Canis lupus familiaris: one gene and its partners. The protein of the gene in region 3 interacts with the protein of the main gene of each other region in a biochemical or structural test. Links are inferred from orthologs where the notes say so. Each region holds a gene or a part of one and is shown on either strand. Other genes may lie near its edges. The genes, in order: CTNNA1, CDH1 and JUP.

The links.
Region 1: the proteins of JUP (region 3) and CTNNA1 form a complex in vitro, tested with the Homo sapiens proteins (2 studies listed by BioGRID). The link is inferred for Canis lupus familiaris from reciprocal best matches to the Homo sapiens genes JUP and CTNNA1.
Region 2: the proteins of JUP (region 3) and CDH1 form a complex in vitro, tested with the Homo sapiens proteins (2 studies listed by BioGRID). The link is inferred for Canis lupus familiaris from reciprocal best matches to the Homo sapiens genes JUP and CDH1.

The regions. Positions count from the first base shown.
Region 1 is NC_049232.1:26,503,499-26,508,733, reverse strand, and holds part of CTNNA1 (catenin alpha-1), read right to left. Parts: intron 3,476-5,235; coding exon 3,365-3,475; intron 2,374-3,364; coding exon 2,192-2,373; intron 2,084-2,191; coding exon 1,978-2,083; intron 1,227-1,977; coding exon 1,092-1,226; intron 535-1,091; coding exon 247-534; 3' UTR 1-246. UniProt on the Homo sapiens protein: Associates with the cytoplasmic domain of a variety of cadherins. The association of catenins to cadherins produces a complex which is linked to the actin filament network, and which seems to be of primary importance for cadherins cell-adhesion properties.
Region 2 is NC_049226.1:81,340,498-81,345,479, forward strand, and holds the end of CDH1 (cadherin-1 precursor), read right to left. Parts: intron 3,179-4,982; coding exon 2,969-3,178; 3' UTR 1,368-2,968; downstream 1-1,367.
Region 3 is NC_049230.1:20,918,135-20,923,369, forward strand, and holds part of JUP (junction plakoglobin), read left to right. Parts: intron 1-162; coding exon 163-422; intron 423-643; coding exon 644-882; intron 883-1,995; coding exon 1,996-2,197; intron 2,198-3,792; coding exon 3,793-3,937; intron 3,938-4,058; coding exon 4,059-4,162; intron 4,163-5,235. UniProt on the Homo sapiens protein: Common junctional plaque protein. The membrane-associated plaques are architectural elements in an important strategic position to influence the arrangement and function of both the cytoskeleton and the cells within the tissue.

The DNA of each region.
Region 1 (5,235 bases), on a different chromosome or scaffold from region 3:
TTTTCTTTAATTTTTACTTAAGCTTAAAAAAAATATAGTTAGAAATGTGCTCCTGAATTCCAAAAGTATTTTTGACTAATTTAAACACAAGTATATCCTGGCCAAATGCCCCACCGGGCCAGGTTTAAAATCTGTCCATGTCCCCATGGAATCTAACACGGTGTTGTGTTGAGCAGATACATCAGTGAGGAGCAGGGCCTGATCTCAGGAGCCCTGGGGTGGAGGCGGCGGGCGGGCGCGGTGGCCCTAGATGCTGTCCATGGCTTTGAACTCGCTCAGGGCCTGCACCGGGTTCACATGCTTCTTCTGTGACGCCCGTTTGATCTTGGTCTGTGTCTCATCCTGCTTCTCCCTCTTCACCAAGGGCTTCTTCTCGGGGGCCTTCATCTTCCAGGACACAGCCGGTAGGTTGAGGGAAGCCATGCCCTGAGATTTCTGGTATTTGGTAGAGGCCACGTAGGATGCCTTCACGGTCTGCACCACTGCATTCATCAGGTTCTTGGCGGCCTGGATCAGGGACATGGCACTGTCCACCTGCGAGGGACAGACAGGGCAGTGAGGAAGGCGCGGGGCCCGTGGCCGCGGTCCTGGTCAGCTCTCCCCACAGCCCCTGTTCTTATCCGGGAAAACGGGATACACCTGGTCCAGATATTTAGGAGGGTGCAGCACCCAAGCAACGTAAGGCGCCATTACCTTGCCTCCCCTCCCTCCAGAGTCTACTTGCTCTTAAAACCTGGAGAAAGGTCTGTCTCTGAGTGACGGAGGTGCATTGGCGAGGGGGATCCTACACAGAAAGTAGTTGTTTGGAAGGAAACCCCTGCAGGGCCCAGTGGAACCCAGAGCCAGTGTGAGAGAACAGAACCACGTGAGTGCTCTGGGGGCCCAGCTATGTTATCTTTGTAATTTCTGAACAGGTTCAAGTCCCCTTTGAGGGAAGGACAACAGAGAAATGAGAATACTTCCTCCCAGCGAGAGGACCCTTGGGGTCTCTCCACAGCACACGTCCCTGACATCAGGGTAGGCAGGATGTCTACGCAGCAGAGATGCGAGCACACGCCCGCCAGGCACCCATGCTCGTGGCTCAAACTTACCCCAGAGACGACGAGCTCCCCACCCAGGTTCTGCACCTCGGCCTTGACCTTGCTGCAGATGTTGAGCTGGTGGCAGTAGAGTGCGATGCGCTGCAGATAGGCCAGCAGGTCCTGCTTGCAGGCGGAGTCCGGGCACTGCCAGGAGAGCAGCAGGGATCAGCACACACCCCAGGCCCAAGGTTCCCCCACCCTGGGCAGGGCTCTCCCTGCCGGAGCAAAGCACAAGTGCTCTGGACTCCAGGGTGACCTCCCTCAAGTGTATCCACTGCCGCCCTGTGAGGCACTTCATGCACCGAGTGTAGGAGGCCGGGAGAGCGGCCTGGAGTCCAGAGGCTAGGAAAGAGCTGCGGGCCTGGGGGGACCACGTGTTAGGTGATCATCTACCCAGACCGTGCTGGCAGCTGAGGCAGCACGGAGCAGGGGACAGGAGTGGCTATCGAGGCACGGTCTGTGGGGAGCTGGGCCGAGCTGGTGATGGAAGCGGGGAGAAGACTGGGTGGTGTCAAGATAAACACGGCAGCAGACGTGCCTGCTCCTGGACTGCAGAGAGCAGAGCCAAGAGTGGCTTCTACCCCTTGGGACCGATTAGTTCAGTATGTGAGGATGTGCAGGAAACAGGGAGACAACAATGCTGCAGCCCCCAGGAGGATGGCAGGATACACACACCTGCCCCATAGACATGCTCTCAACGTACGCTGGGCTGGGCTCCTAAGACTTGTCAAAGAGGAATTCAGAAATCCTCACACATCGATGTGGGTACCAACCCAGCAGGGTGATAAGCCAAGCACATGTCTGGAGATGAGAGGAGCGCCATGCCCCAAGGAAAACAGGACGACGGTCAGCACCTTGGGATGCACCTGGCAGCCCTGCAGCGACCCCCACTCACGTGGTCTGCGATGGTCCGGCCGAGCTTGTCCATCCTGGATCCTGCCTCCGCAATCTTCTTGGCGGCGCTGATCACATCGGACGTGTTCTTGAGTGGTCCTTTCCCTCTGACAAAAGAGAGCAAAGATCACTGTGTGTGGCTGACGGTGAAGGGGAAGAAGGGGGCCGGCCGCGGAGCACAGGGTGGGCCGGCACCCAGGGGCGGCGCAGCTCACCGGGTGAAGTCCGTCATTTCCATCATGATCATGCACATCTGCTTGGCCAGCACGATGATGTCATTGCCGCTGTCATCCCACTTGGACACCTCAGCATCCAGCTTGCTTTTTTCTTCCTGGAAGCTGGCCACCTGTTCGGCAATCTTTGCTTTTTGCTCCTGGGGAAGCTGAGCCATGATCGCCTGAAACCCGAAGCACAAAGAGCTCTTAGGTGAGGAGAGTATGAAGCCCTCACAGCACATCAGCTGATGCAACCTGTGGCAGAGGTGGGATGATCTTTAATGGGCTTCATTTTGCCTAAAGGTCCATTTCTCCTCACTTTGAGCACAAGTTCACAGCAGCCTGAATTTCCAACCCATTTTCAAAAACAAGTTTCCATGTGGAGGAGAACACAGTGCGAGGGACAGAGAACAAATATGGAGGCTTCCAGATCAGGCCTGTACAGGGACGGAAGCCGCTTAATACCCTGTGAGTTCGTCTGCCTGCTGCTGTGGGGGATAGGACACGATCCCAGGGGTGGTGCATGGGCCCCTCTCTGGTGGGCCCCACCTTAGCTCCCTGACATGGCACCTCTGAACCCTCTCACAGCGCCCACCCCAAGGCCCACAGACTCCAGGCCGTGAGCCCCCTGCCACAGCTTCCCCAAGTGCTCGTGATGGAGAGGGGCCCAAAGCAAGGCTGCATTTGCTGTTCAAAATGATTTCTGAGGACTGGAAAAGGCTCCATGGAAATATTTCTTGGCATGCTCCCAAAAACATAAATGCTATTGATTGAAGATTTAATGACTCAAATGAATGCAATGGCTCTGAATGATTTTCTTGAATGTACCACTGTTATTTTTTTTTAACCCATGAATAATTAAATAGCTCATACCATGCTATCACTGAGATGGGCAAAGATAGCCATCTTTTTTGAATGTCACAATCCTTTTAACAAACATGGCATTGACCCGCCACTGGGCTCTCCTGACGCAGGGCCCTGTCATCAGCCAACGCCCCCAGGGCACAGCTGAGGCCGAGGGCCTGCTCCTGCTCCCGCCCTGCTCCTGGCTGCCATGTGCCACCCCCTGGGGTGAGCTCTATCCCGGTGCCAGGGAGACAAAGTGGGAACGCTGTGATCGATCCCAGAAAAGAAAAAGCCAAGCTCCTGGAGGCACAGGGACATGTTCCTTACCCGGGCGCTCTGACCAGCTATCAGCTGGTCATCTTCTGTCTGGACACTCGTCCGACTTCTGACATCGAAGTCTTCTGTCTCAAAGTCAGAGTCATCCAGTTCCTCGGGAGTCTGCCAGCAATATGGAGAGCACGAATCAGAAACACCCTAGGCCCTTGGGTCCAAAGTACAAACACCCAGAACTCTGGGTCTTCACATGAGCCATGTTCCAAGCAGCTGGGGCCAATCAGGTTAACATCAGCCATGATTCACTCGAGACCCGCCTCACTGACACACACGTGAGGCGTCCCAGGCTAGGCCCCCATCAGGACTTCCCAGAGGCTCGAGGAGCTTCAGCTTCTACGAGGGTCAGGACTCACCTGCACCCTACACAAAAGTGAGGCTCATCCTGGTGGGAAACGTACTGTATTGAAAAGACATTTTATCCAACATTAAGCAGATTCTTAGAACCTTCCCATGTGATGGCAAGAAGAAAATGAATGAAGGAAGTAATATTAGGCTTTCCCTTAGGACAATGCTTTGAAGAGAAGAAATAGGCAATGGATTTTCATGGACTTTTTTCTGCTTTACTTTTATCAATGTGAAAAGAACGTGGCAGGTAAGGTCTGAGTATGTCTCCAAGGTCCCGTTTCCAGTTCTAGCTCTCTAGCTTTAATTATGAAATAAAAATTCTTATTTCAAAAAAAAAAAAAATTCTTATTTCATACAACTTCCAGCCTCTCATGATTAGTGGCTGACTTGAAACCTGACGTTGTCTCCTGGAAGTTACTAGTAATGGGCAGTGGGCGGAACAGCTGGGGTTGGCTACTGGCCTGGCGGACCGGCCTGTGACAGAAGGGCAATGAGGCACATCCCCTATCTGTACCAGGATCTAATCCAAGGCGGGGCCCCAGGGCTTGCTGCAGGGCTCCCGTGAGAGGATGTGTGAGGAACATCTGGGCTGCCCAAGACTAAGCTTGTCTCTCAGTGACGTGAGGTAAGGACAGGGGGTCACGCCAGGCACCAGCAAGCCCTGGGGACACATGAGTGCAAGACCCGGAGTCTCTCTGACTTGGCGGCCACACACGACCCCACCGCTGGCCACTTTGGATCCCAGATCCCTGGTCACAGATACCTGCAGAGGGGCTTTCCCAGAGACATGCTGTCTTGTGAGAACCTGCTCTTGTGCCAGCCCTGCTGGCCCCGTCAGAGACCCAAGAACTATTCTTGCCAAGAGACCAGGTACCTCCTGTTCCTTCCTTTCTGCTGAGCATCTGTGTACCAGGGACCATACTGGGCCCTGGAGGTGCAGCACCGCTACTCCACTGTCGGGCCCTGTGTTGCCCACACCACAGCTCACTAGAACCACCAGCACCTCTGTTCTTCAGAGAAGATGAGGAGAGTCCAGGAGGGGCCGGGGCTCCAGAGTCTGCAAGCATGTCCCCTCGTTGTATACGCAGTGTCTGCCCGCCCAACCCCCCAAGATGTCAACCTCAGCACCAGTGACTCCTCTTTATCTTAAGGTCCCTTTTATTCCATTTCTAAGTGTCTAAGAAAAGGCTCTGGAGAAACAGGGCTGCGTCCATTACCAGCGATGGCATGCCCAGGGACCCCTTCATGGCACTGGGACAGGGCGGCCCATGTGACCAATCATTCTACCAAGCCAGCTTGCTTCTCAGGTACAAGTACAAAGAGATGGAGAAAGCAGAGCAATTTCCTGCCCCCGTGCAGCCAGGGAACCTGGGGCCTACAGGACAGCTGGCACCAACCAGGGCATGCACACTTCTCCTTCTGCCTCACCCGGGGGGCCCCGGCCCTCTTGCCCACACGTTTCTACGCTGCAGATGAAGTGGGTCCAGCCTCATGCAGCTGCCTTAGAAACGGCCCCTGTT
Region 2 (4,982 bases), on a different chromosome or scaffold from region 3:
GTTTTAGAATTTGGGATGATGCAGAGGTTCTGGAAACATGGTTATACATTTTGAATGTACTTAATAGCACTGAATTGTACCCTTGAAAGTAACACACATTCAGTAGAAACCATACTTCAAATTTTGATCTTTTCCTGGGCTAGCAAAATATGGTCAGACTCCCTCATGATGCTGGGCAGTGGCAGCCACAGCTTGTCAGTCCTGTGATCTGGAAGGTAAACAATTGATACACTTACAACCATTCTGTTTCTCACTGTCGGAGCTATTCAACACTATTACAAAACAGGTTTTGTGTGAGATGCTTTCACTCAACTGTAGGTAATTGTTCTGAGCACATTGAAAGTGGATTAGGCTAGGGGTGCCTGGGTGGCTCAGGTCATGATCCCAAAATCAAGCCCCACATCCTTCCCCTCTCTACCTGCCCCTCCCCACAACTTGTGCTTTCTCTCTCAAATAAAATCTTAAAAAAAAAAAAAAAAGTGGATTAGGTTATCATGTCTGGTGGATTAGGCATATTAAATGCATTTTTGAAATATTCTTTTTTTAATATTTTATTTATTTATATGAGAGAGAGAGAGAGAGAGAGAGAGAGAGGCAGAGACACAGGCAGAGGGAGAAGCAGGCTCCATGCAGGGAGCCTGATGTGGGACTCGATCCCAAAGGCAGGCACTAAACCGCTGAGCCACCTGGGCTGCCCTTGAAATATTCTTAACTTATGATGGTTTATTGGGATATAACCACATTGTAAGTCAAGTAAGATCTATATATATATATTTCACCCCCATTTAAAAATTACACACACACACACACACACACACACACACACACACACACAAACAATATTATACCCCTCCAACAAAGTCAAGTCACAGAACAGGTTTTCTTAGCAGCACTACTGACATCTTGAGCGTGGTGGTCCTTTGTTGTCGGATGTTTAGCAGCATCCCTGGCCTGGACTTGATGCCAGTAGCACCTCCTCAGTCGCAACAATCAAAGTATCTCCAGAAATTGCCCAATGTCCCCTGGGGAGAGGCTAGGGTCATTTTTGACGGTGGACCCCTGAACTACACCAATTTGGCTGACCCACTGAATACTGTCTGAAGCTCAACTTTTTTTGGTCCCTCAGTGTCACCCACAATTTTTCCAATAATAAGAGAATTTTAATGGTTTCTCCATATACCACATGGATAGTTATTTTTCAAATAAAGTGACCTTTTAAATGCAGTTTCCTGCATTCTGCCCACAATAAAAGGACACAAAGTTCTGGAGGAGTCATTTCAATATGAAGTTTCCTTCCCCATGTTTTGAATGAGCTCAACTATCACTGGTCTTGCCTAGAATTGTAGTATAATCATATAAAACAAGTGTTTGACAATGGTTTAACAAAATTCTTTAATAAAATTTATAAAAATGAATATTTAAGAATTTTCGCAGCTTAAATTGTTTTCCTTTTCCAGACCTAAAGAAAATACAAAATTATCCGTACCCACACACATATACACTCAAAACTACATTAACATTCTCTATACAGGACTAAATTAGAGTTTAAATTGCTGAAAAATCAAGACAATTCCAAGAAGTGATTGCAGGGATGATTTTTTTTTTCTTTGAAAAACAGCTGACAGACAGTAAAGCAATTTAAGATAAAATTATTTCCCATGGTTGTCAAAAGTTCCTTGAAGTTCACATTTCAATTTAAAAAAAATCCAAGTCAAAGCTCTCCCCACCTTCCCTTTGCCAAAACCCTTTAGGGTCATATTTTCTTCCTGCTCCTAAGGGGGGAAAAAGAATTTCCTAATATTGTCAGTTTTCTATGCACACTTAGAATTGGGGCACCTGAGTCCAGATCAGGCTGCATTTTCGGTAGACATTAACAAAAGCAGGCACCTGGGGATTCTTGGCCTCAGGTACAAACTGTGACCTAAGGATCGCGATAGGACACACTTGTCGGGATTCTTCCATTCTTCAGAATTTTCAGGACTAGAGGTAGAGCCACCTCAGTTATCCTCAGCATCAGTTTGCTAAAACGCCAGGCTCAATGACCCATCCCGCCTGCCACCTCCAAGTCCATTTTTCATGTTGCCCTTGGCTTTGACAATCCGCCTTCAATCTTTGGCTGCAGCACTGCAGGCACTACGCTAAACGTCAGAATAGATCACTCTTCTGTTTGAGTGATAAGTGAACATTAGAAGTTGAGTGGCACCTGAAAATTCACCACCTTTTCTGGTCAATGCTCCTTGTTCAGAACCAAAGTAGCCCAATAATGACGTCCACATGACAAACACACTTAATGCAGAACAAGTCAGTGGATGGATATGAATTTCAATTTATGTACTTAGGAAATAAAAAAGGAGAACCACTAAAGTCCTTACGAGTCCATAATACCCAGTCACACTACCATCAAACTAAGACCAAGTCTCTTATCCTGAAAGGGCCCAATAATTTCTGCAGCAGAGAACTCCTGTCTGAGGCAATGTAAGTTCAGAAGGAGTTAAGAGTGGTTATTAGAACACGGGACACCAGTGCAGTGATAGGAGAAAAAAGAACACAAATTAAAAATAATTACACATACACACACACACACACAAACACAATAGGGTAGTTTAGCCCTACCTTCCTTTAAAAAAATGAGACAAGTCAATAAGGCAATCTGCAAATTGCTAGCAGAACCTTCTGGAGGCTTTAGCTATTCTTTTGAAATATAAACATGTGGGGGGTCTTTTGGACAGCATCACCATTTAAAGAATGATGAAAGAAAGAAAAAAAAGCTTCAAAGAATAGGTCAAAATCGTTCTAACAAACACACAGATTAGATCTATAAAGTAGAAATCCTAACTATCCTAACTATATATCACTGTGCATTTTCTCTTCTCCAGAAATTCCTCTCAGATGAAGGGAGCTGAAAACAGTCACCTCCGCATTTTCTACCACATGGTATAAGGACTCATCTTCATTTGTCTCAAGTCCCCTAGTCGTCCTCGCCACCTCCATACATGTCCGCCAGCTTCTTGAAGCGATTGCCCCATTCATTCAGGTAGTCATAGTCCTGGTCTTGGTCTGACTCTGAGGAGTTCAAGGAGCTCAGACTAGCAGCTTCAGAACCGCTTCCTTCATAGTCAAACACGAGCAGAGAGTCATAAGGAGGAGCAGTAGGGTCAGTGTCCGCTGCCTTCAGGTTCTAAAGAAGAAAGAAGATAGTAGGATCCTTTAATGAAAGGAATCACACACCTGTCAGGCAAGATGCCTTCTCTAGGTGCCTCAAGCAGCAGCATGTAATGCACAATAACGCAACAACCATCCTAGAGAACACAGGGAGCAATCCGCACCAATAAGGTAAATTTATACAAACTGGCAAGGAGGATAAACAATATGTTGTTTGATGAAAAGAAAACATTATGGGTAAATACGCAGAATGTTTCCCCTAAACTAATGATAAATTATATGTAGGCAGGAGAGAAACAAGCCAGTCGGGATTGACAGAGGCTGAAAACAATGAGGATAGTCATACTGGTCCATACAGCATCGCCACCTGGAAAGGTCTGGAAAGATGAATGCCAAACTGTTAATGGTTAACTCTAGAGAATAGAGTTGGAGGCAGTAAGGAAGGATTGCATTTTTTTTCTTTATGTACATTTTACAAATTTATTATATATTTATTCATAATAAAATTATTATAACATTATTTTGTAAGTAATGTAATGACATTAATATTATAAGTTAAAAAAAAAAAAAAGCTACTATCAGATGTGACGATACACAAATGAATGTGAATGGAGGAAAGGACCTGAATTCAGATTTACCTAAGAGGGAGGTTTTTTGCTTTGTTTTGTTTTTTTAAAAGATTTTATTTATGTATTCATGAGAGACAGAGAGAGAGAGGGAGGCAGAGACACAGACAGAAGGAGAAGCAGGCTCCACGCAGGGAGTCCGATGTGGGACTTGATCCCGAGACTCCAGGACCACACCCTGGGCTGAAGGCAGGCGCTAAACTGCTGAGCCACCCAAGGATCCCCTAAGAGGAAGTTCTTTTTTTTTAAATCTATCTATCTATCTATCTATCTATCTATCTATCTATCTATCTATCTATTTATGATAGTCACACACACACACACACACACACACACACACACACACACACAGGCAGAGACACAGGCAGAGGGAGAAGCAGGCTCCATGCACTGGGAGCCCAACGTGGGACTCGATCCCGGGTCTCCAGGATCGCGCCCTGGGCCAAAGGCAGGCGCCAAACCGCTGCGCCACCCAGGGATCCCCTAAGAGGAAGGTTTTAACTGGACCTTTCTAATCCCAGCTTTCTAGAAGATCCAGTGGCTAAAATCAATGTGGCCTGGTCACTTCCAACACTGGTGTGCTTTGTGTAGTCCCTGGTGACAACTACCATAGGAAACTAAAGCAAAACCAGCCTCTACCAGGAAGACTCACTGAGAGCCACTGGACCATCCAGACAAGGCCTAAAAATCATTCAGTAACTGTGCAAGTGATCAGGGAACATTGTTTAAGGAAATAGATCCTGCTGGACTATTATCTTACTTGGTTCTTTGCTCATCTTGACCCCTAATTTGTCCTCATCTTACCCTAAGCTAATTAACTTAATGCCTTATTTCTCATTCTCCCTTGCAGATAAGGACAATCTTGTGACAGTTCTGGCCAGTAACATATGGGATGAATTCCCTACTTGCATTAACACTTTGCTAGAACAAAGATTCTTCTTCTTCTTCTTCTTCTTTTTTTTTAGAACAAAGATTCTTTGGCCTCTGCTCCGCCCTTCCTACTCCTTCTTGACTAGAATACAGACCCAAAGCCTGAAAGTGTAGCAGGCATCTTGTGATTATGTGGCAACAAGCATGGGAACAAGGATTCATGGGGTTAATCTACTCCTATCTGTTTAAAAGCTTTGAGAGTTTATAGCTGAATGTATTTCTGACATCTACAAATTGATGCCATTTTCCTGGGCCTTAGGTAGA
Region 3 (5,235 bases):
CCCGGTTAGAGGCAGAATCACAAGTGGTGCTGCTGGGGCTTTGGTCGGGGTGGGAGCCAGCCCAGAGAGCCCGGTCTACAAGGCCTGCCCTGCCCCCTGTGTCCCCCCCACCCCTGCCCATCCTGCCACTCAGTCCCTCCCCGTTGACACCCCCCCATCCAGGTGACCTGGAGTACCAAATGTCCACGACAGCCAGAGCCAAGCGGGTACGGGAGGCCATGTGTCCTGGCGTGACAGGCGAAGACAGCTCGCTGCTACTGGCCACCCAGGTGGAAGGGCAGACCACCAACCTGCAGCGGCTGGCCGAGCCGTCCCAGCTGCTCAAGTCAGCCATCGTACATCTCATCAACTACCAGGACGACGCCGAGCTGGCCACCCGGGCCCTGCCTGAACTCACCAAACTGCTCAACGACGAGGACCCGGTCCGTGGGGGGCCTGGCCAGGGTGGGGGCAGGGCAGAGAGGGGAGAGGTCAGGTGTCCGCAGGGGCCGGCCCTACGCAGGGCCCCATCAGCAGGGAGAGTCTGAGCTGGGTCCCTCTGAACTTTGTGGAGGGGGTCACTTGCCCTCCTCCCCCCATCTCACGGTGGCAGCCAGCCCGGCCCCTCTGCTCACTTTTTCCCATCCCTCCCCGTCCCCCTCAGGTGGTGGTGACCAAGGCAGCCATGATCGTGAACCAGCTGTCCAAGAAAGAGGCGTCACGGCGGGCGCTGATGGGCTCGCCCCAGCTGGTGGCAGCCGTGGTGCGTACTATGCAGAACACCAGTGACCTGGACACAGCCCGCTGCACCACCAGCATCCTGCACAACCTCTCCCACCACCGTGAGGGGCTGCTTGCCATCTTCAAGTCGGGCGGCATCCCTGCCCTGGTCCGCATGCTCAGGTACCCACCCCTACCCACTGGGGGATACCGGGGACTCCCTTCACTTGGGCCTACCCCCTCTCTTCCCTGGGCTTCCATACATCAGGTATTGAGGACCTACTGTGTGCCAGGTGCAGACCCATGCCCAGTCCTGGTGCTCAGCTACTCACAGCCTAGCAGGCGGAATAGGCATGTGACCGGCGTGTTAGTTACTAGGATACAGTATATGCTGGAGAGAGGTCTGCCCAGGATTGCTCAGAGCTCCGGGAAGCTGTGCACTCTAACAGCAGGATGATGAGTTGAGGGTTGATGGATGAGTGGGGTTTGGCCTGCGTAGATGAAGGGAAGAGTATCCCAGGCAGAGGGAACAGCAGAGATAGCCCCTTGCCCCCTGTATCTTTCCCAGCCTTGCAAGGTTCATTGGTCTTTCTCCTTCTATCCATGCCAGGCTGTGAGTTCCTTGAGGTGGGAGATACTCTGACCCCCTCACAGGACCTTTCTAGCACATGGCCTCCCATGTGGTAGTTCCTTAGTACCGACTATGCGCTCAGCCCTGGGCTAAAAGCCCAGAAGCAGGCGGAGTCATGGTCCTGGTGGGGAGAGGAGTGGTGTGTGCTGTGTGATCTGTGCCTAAGAGCGGGGCTGGGCTCAAGGGACGATGAGATTTTAGTATTTTTTTATTTTTTATTTTTTTTTAAATTTATGATAGTCACAGAGAGAGAGAGAGAGAGAGGCAGAGACATAGGCAGAGGGAGAAGCAGGCTCCATGCACCAGGAGCCCGATGTGGGATTCGATCCCGGGTCTCCAGGATCGCGCCCTGGGCTAAAGGCAGGCCCTAAACCACTGCGCCACCCAGGGATCCCATGAGATTTTAGTAAAGTGCTGTTCCCCCCCCCCCTTTTTTTTTTAAGATTTTATTTATTTATTCATGAGAGACACAGAGAGAGAGAGGCAGAGACACAGGCAGAGGGAGAAGCAGGCTCCATGCAGGGAGCCCGATGTGGGACTCGATCCCTAAAGTGCTGTTTCCATGGGGGTGTTGGTATGGGGAAGGCTTCCTGGGGGGAGGTAGCCCTCATTTATGCCAGACCTTTGGGGCCCGACTCACATCAAGCCACTGCCCACCATCCCAGCTCCCCGGTGGAGTCAGTCCTGTTTTACGCCATCACCACGCTGCACAACCTGCTGCTGTACCAGGAGGGCGCCAAGATGGCGGTGCGCCTGGCAGATGGGCTGCAGAAGATGGTGCCCCTGCTCAACAAAAACAACCCCAAGTTCCTGGCCATCACCACCGACTGCCTGCAGCTCCTGGCTTATGGCAACCAGGAGAGCAAGGTGAGCTGTGCTGCCGTGCACCCCCCCAACCACACCCCAAGGCCTTCCAGTGTATCTCCTTCTATCCAGCTGTAGCTTTGGACCACTGCCTCTTTACCCCTTTTGGTTTAAATATATGAGTATACATGGTTGTACATCTTTCATCATATAACTGAATATTCTGAGGTTGAGGAAAAGGAAAAAAGTCACTATCCTTATGCAACCACTGCTATCTCCGTGTGCTTCCTGTGGACCCGTCCTGTGGGCATGTCTGTACATGGTTGTAGTCATGGCAAATGTACAACTTTGGATCTGTTTTCTATGTATTTTTAATTTTTTTCCCATACCCTCAAAATCACCCTCTACAATGGCAGATAGCATTTCATTAAGTGGGGGCCCCAGACTTTATTCTTAGGGAGGGCATTTAGATTGCTCTCAATTGTCTACCTTTATAAACAATGCTGTCATGAGCATTTTTGGACACACAGCTTTTCCCAAAGAGTGGGAAATTTTTTCATCAGTGGGGCTAAGGGTTTTTAATATTTCTGGGCTTGTACCCAGATTGCCAAATGCTTTCCAAAAGGATCGTGTTACTTACAGTGTTGTTGGTGGTGTCTGTTAGTAGTTTCACCTCATCCTTGTCAGCATTGTTTATTATCCTTTTTTCTTTTATCTTTTAAAAAATTTTATTTATTTATCTGAGAGTGAGAGAGAGAGAACCAGCGAGATGAGGGGCAGAGGAAGAAGCAGACTCTCCATTAAGCAGGGACCCCAAGGTGGGGCTTGATCCCAGGACCCCAGGGTCATGACCCGAGCCGGAGACCGTGGCTTAACTGACTGAGCCACCCAGACATCCTTTTAAAAATTTTGGCTTTTGGGCAGCCCTGGTGGCGCGCAGCGGTTTAGCGCCGCCTGCAGCCCAGGGCGTGATCCTGGAGACCCTGGATCGAGTCCCACGTCAGGCTCTCAGTATGATGCCTGCTTCTCCCTCTGCCTGTGTCTCTGCCTCTCTCTCTCTCCCTCTCTGTCTCTATGAATAAATAAATAAAATCTTAAAAAAAAAATTTTGGCTTTTGGGGATCCCTGGGTGGCTCAGCGGTTTAGCACCTGCCTTTGGCCCAGGGCGCGATCCTGGAGACCCAGGATCGAGTTCCACATCGGGCTCCCGGTGCATGGAGCCTGCTTCTCCCTCCTCCTGTGTCTCTGCCTCTCTCTCTGTCTCTCTCTCTCTGTCTCTGTCTGTCATAAATAAATAAAATAAATAAATCTTAAAAAAAATGTTGGCTTTTTTTTTTTAAGATTTTATTTATTTATTCATGAGAGACAGAGAGAGACAGAGGCGGAGACACAGGCAGAGGGAGAAGCAGGCTCCATGCAGGGAGCCCGATGTGGGACTTGATCCTGGGTCTCCACGATCACACCCTGAGCTGAAGGGAGGTGCTTAACTGCTGAGCCACCCAGGTGTCCCAAAATTTTGGCTTTTTTAGTAGTCACAAAAGCTGTTCAGGTTTTAGCTGAAGTTTGGTAGCGACAGCTCTGTCACCTCCTCCCCTTTCCTTGTTCCTTGTCATATTTCCTGTCTATCTCACACTCATTCTCCACTGTCTCCCCCTCAGCTCATCATCTTGGCCAATGGAGGACCCCAGGCCCTTGTGCAGATCATGCGCAACTACAGCTATGAGAAGCTGCTCTGGACCACCAGCCGTGTGCTCAAGGTGCTGTCTGTGTGTCCCAGCAATAAGCCTGCCATCGTGGAGGCTGGTGAGGATGGCCTGCGAGGACAGCCCTTGTGCCCTGGAGGGGCGGGGTGGGGGTCTTGTCTGGCAGCTGGGCTTGGTGAGCCATGCTCCCCTGCCTTACACGCTCCCATCTCTCGCCCCAGGTGGGATGCAGGCCTTGGGCAAACACCTGACAAGCAACAGCCCCCGCCTTGTACAGAACTGTCTCTGGACCTTGCGCAACCTCTCGGATGTGGCCACCAAACAGGTGAGGGAGACCTTGGGGGCTGGGGTCCACCTCTTCAGCCACCTCATGCTCCCCTCTTGCCACAGGCAGTCTCCTGTCTGGGACTCTGACTTTAGGAGCCGTGGGAGGCCTGAGGCCTCTACATCTTGCCCCACTGTGACTAAGGCTGGAAATACCCTGAAATCCCTGAAATTCCTCATCCCTTTAGCTTAGGGCTCTAATGGCTGTTAAGGACTCAGGAAGGGGAACAGAGGAAGGGGCTGATATTCCTAAGCTGGGGTTCAGATGATACCAGGGGAGTAATTTTGACACAGACCCTGCAACAAGGAGCAGTAATGTACCAAGAGATGGCCTGAGGGCTCTGGTAGCTAAAAACACAGTTTAAGGAAAAATGGCAGTTTTAGGACAAGACTCCTGGTTCCACCTTCCCACCTGACTACCATTCCTAGGAGGCCCCTGCCCCCCATCAATAGGCTGTTTAATGGCCCCCGGCCACATGCTGGACTCTGCTTAGGCCCTGATGGATATTGGCTTGCTTTCCCCTTTCAACAACTAGAGATGGAAAGGGGAGCCAGTTGGTTGGGTGAAGAAACAGGGTCCCAGGGGGGTGACGTAATGGCCCTTGATCACAGCTAGTAAGTGGTAGAGGTGGGATTCAGGAGTGTCATTTCAGAGCCTGGGGTCTTTCTGTTCTACCACAAGGCCCATGTGGCTCCCCCTGGGAGAAGTGAGGCTTCTAGATCACTGATGTTTCCTGGAAGTGGATTTGGTCTGGGGACCACTGAGAGGGGCAGCATGAAGGCCCAGAACGATGATGAGAAGCCAGGGAAGAGCAGTCAGCTGGGCCACTGAAACAGGTGGCCTCCTTCACGTTTCCTTCTGACCCTGCCTGGGTCTGAGGATGCAGGGGGCGGGATGGGGGTTGGAGGCAAGAGCATGAGCTTGGAGACCGGCCTGAGATCACAGATGGCTTGCTGGCGGTCGCTCTGTGGGGAGCCCTCAGCCGCTCCGAGTGCCACTGCCCCATGGGACTGTGCCACCTTCTCACGGGGCGTTGGCAGAGGCGCCGGGGCAACGGTTCCCAGGCACGTGGG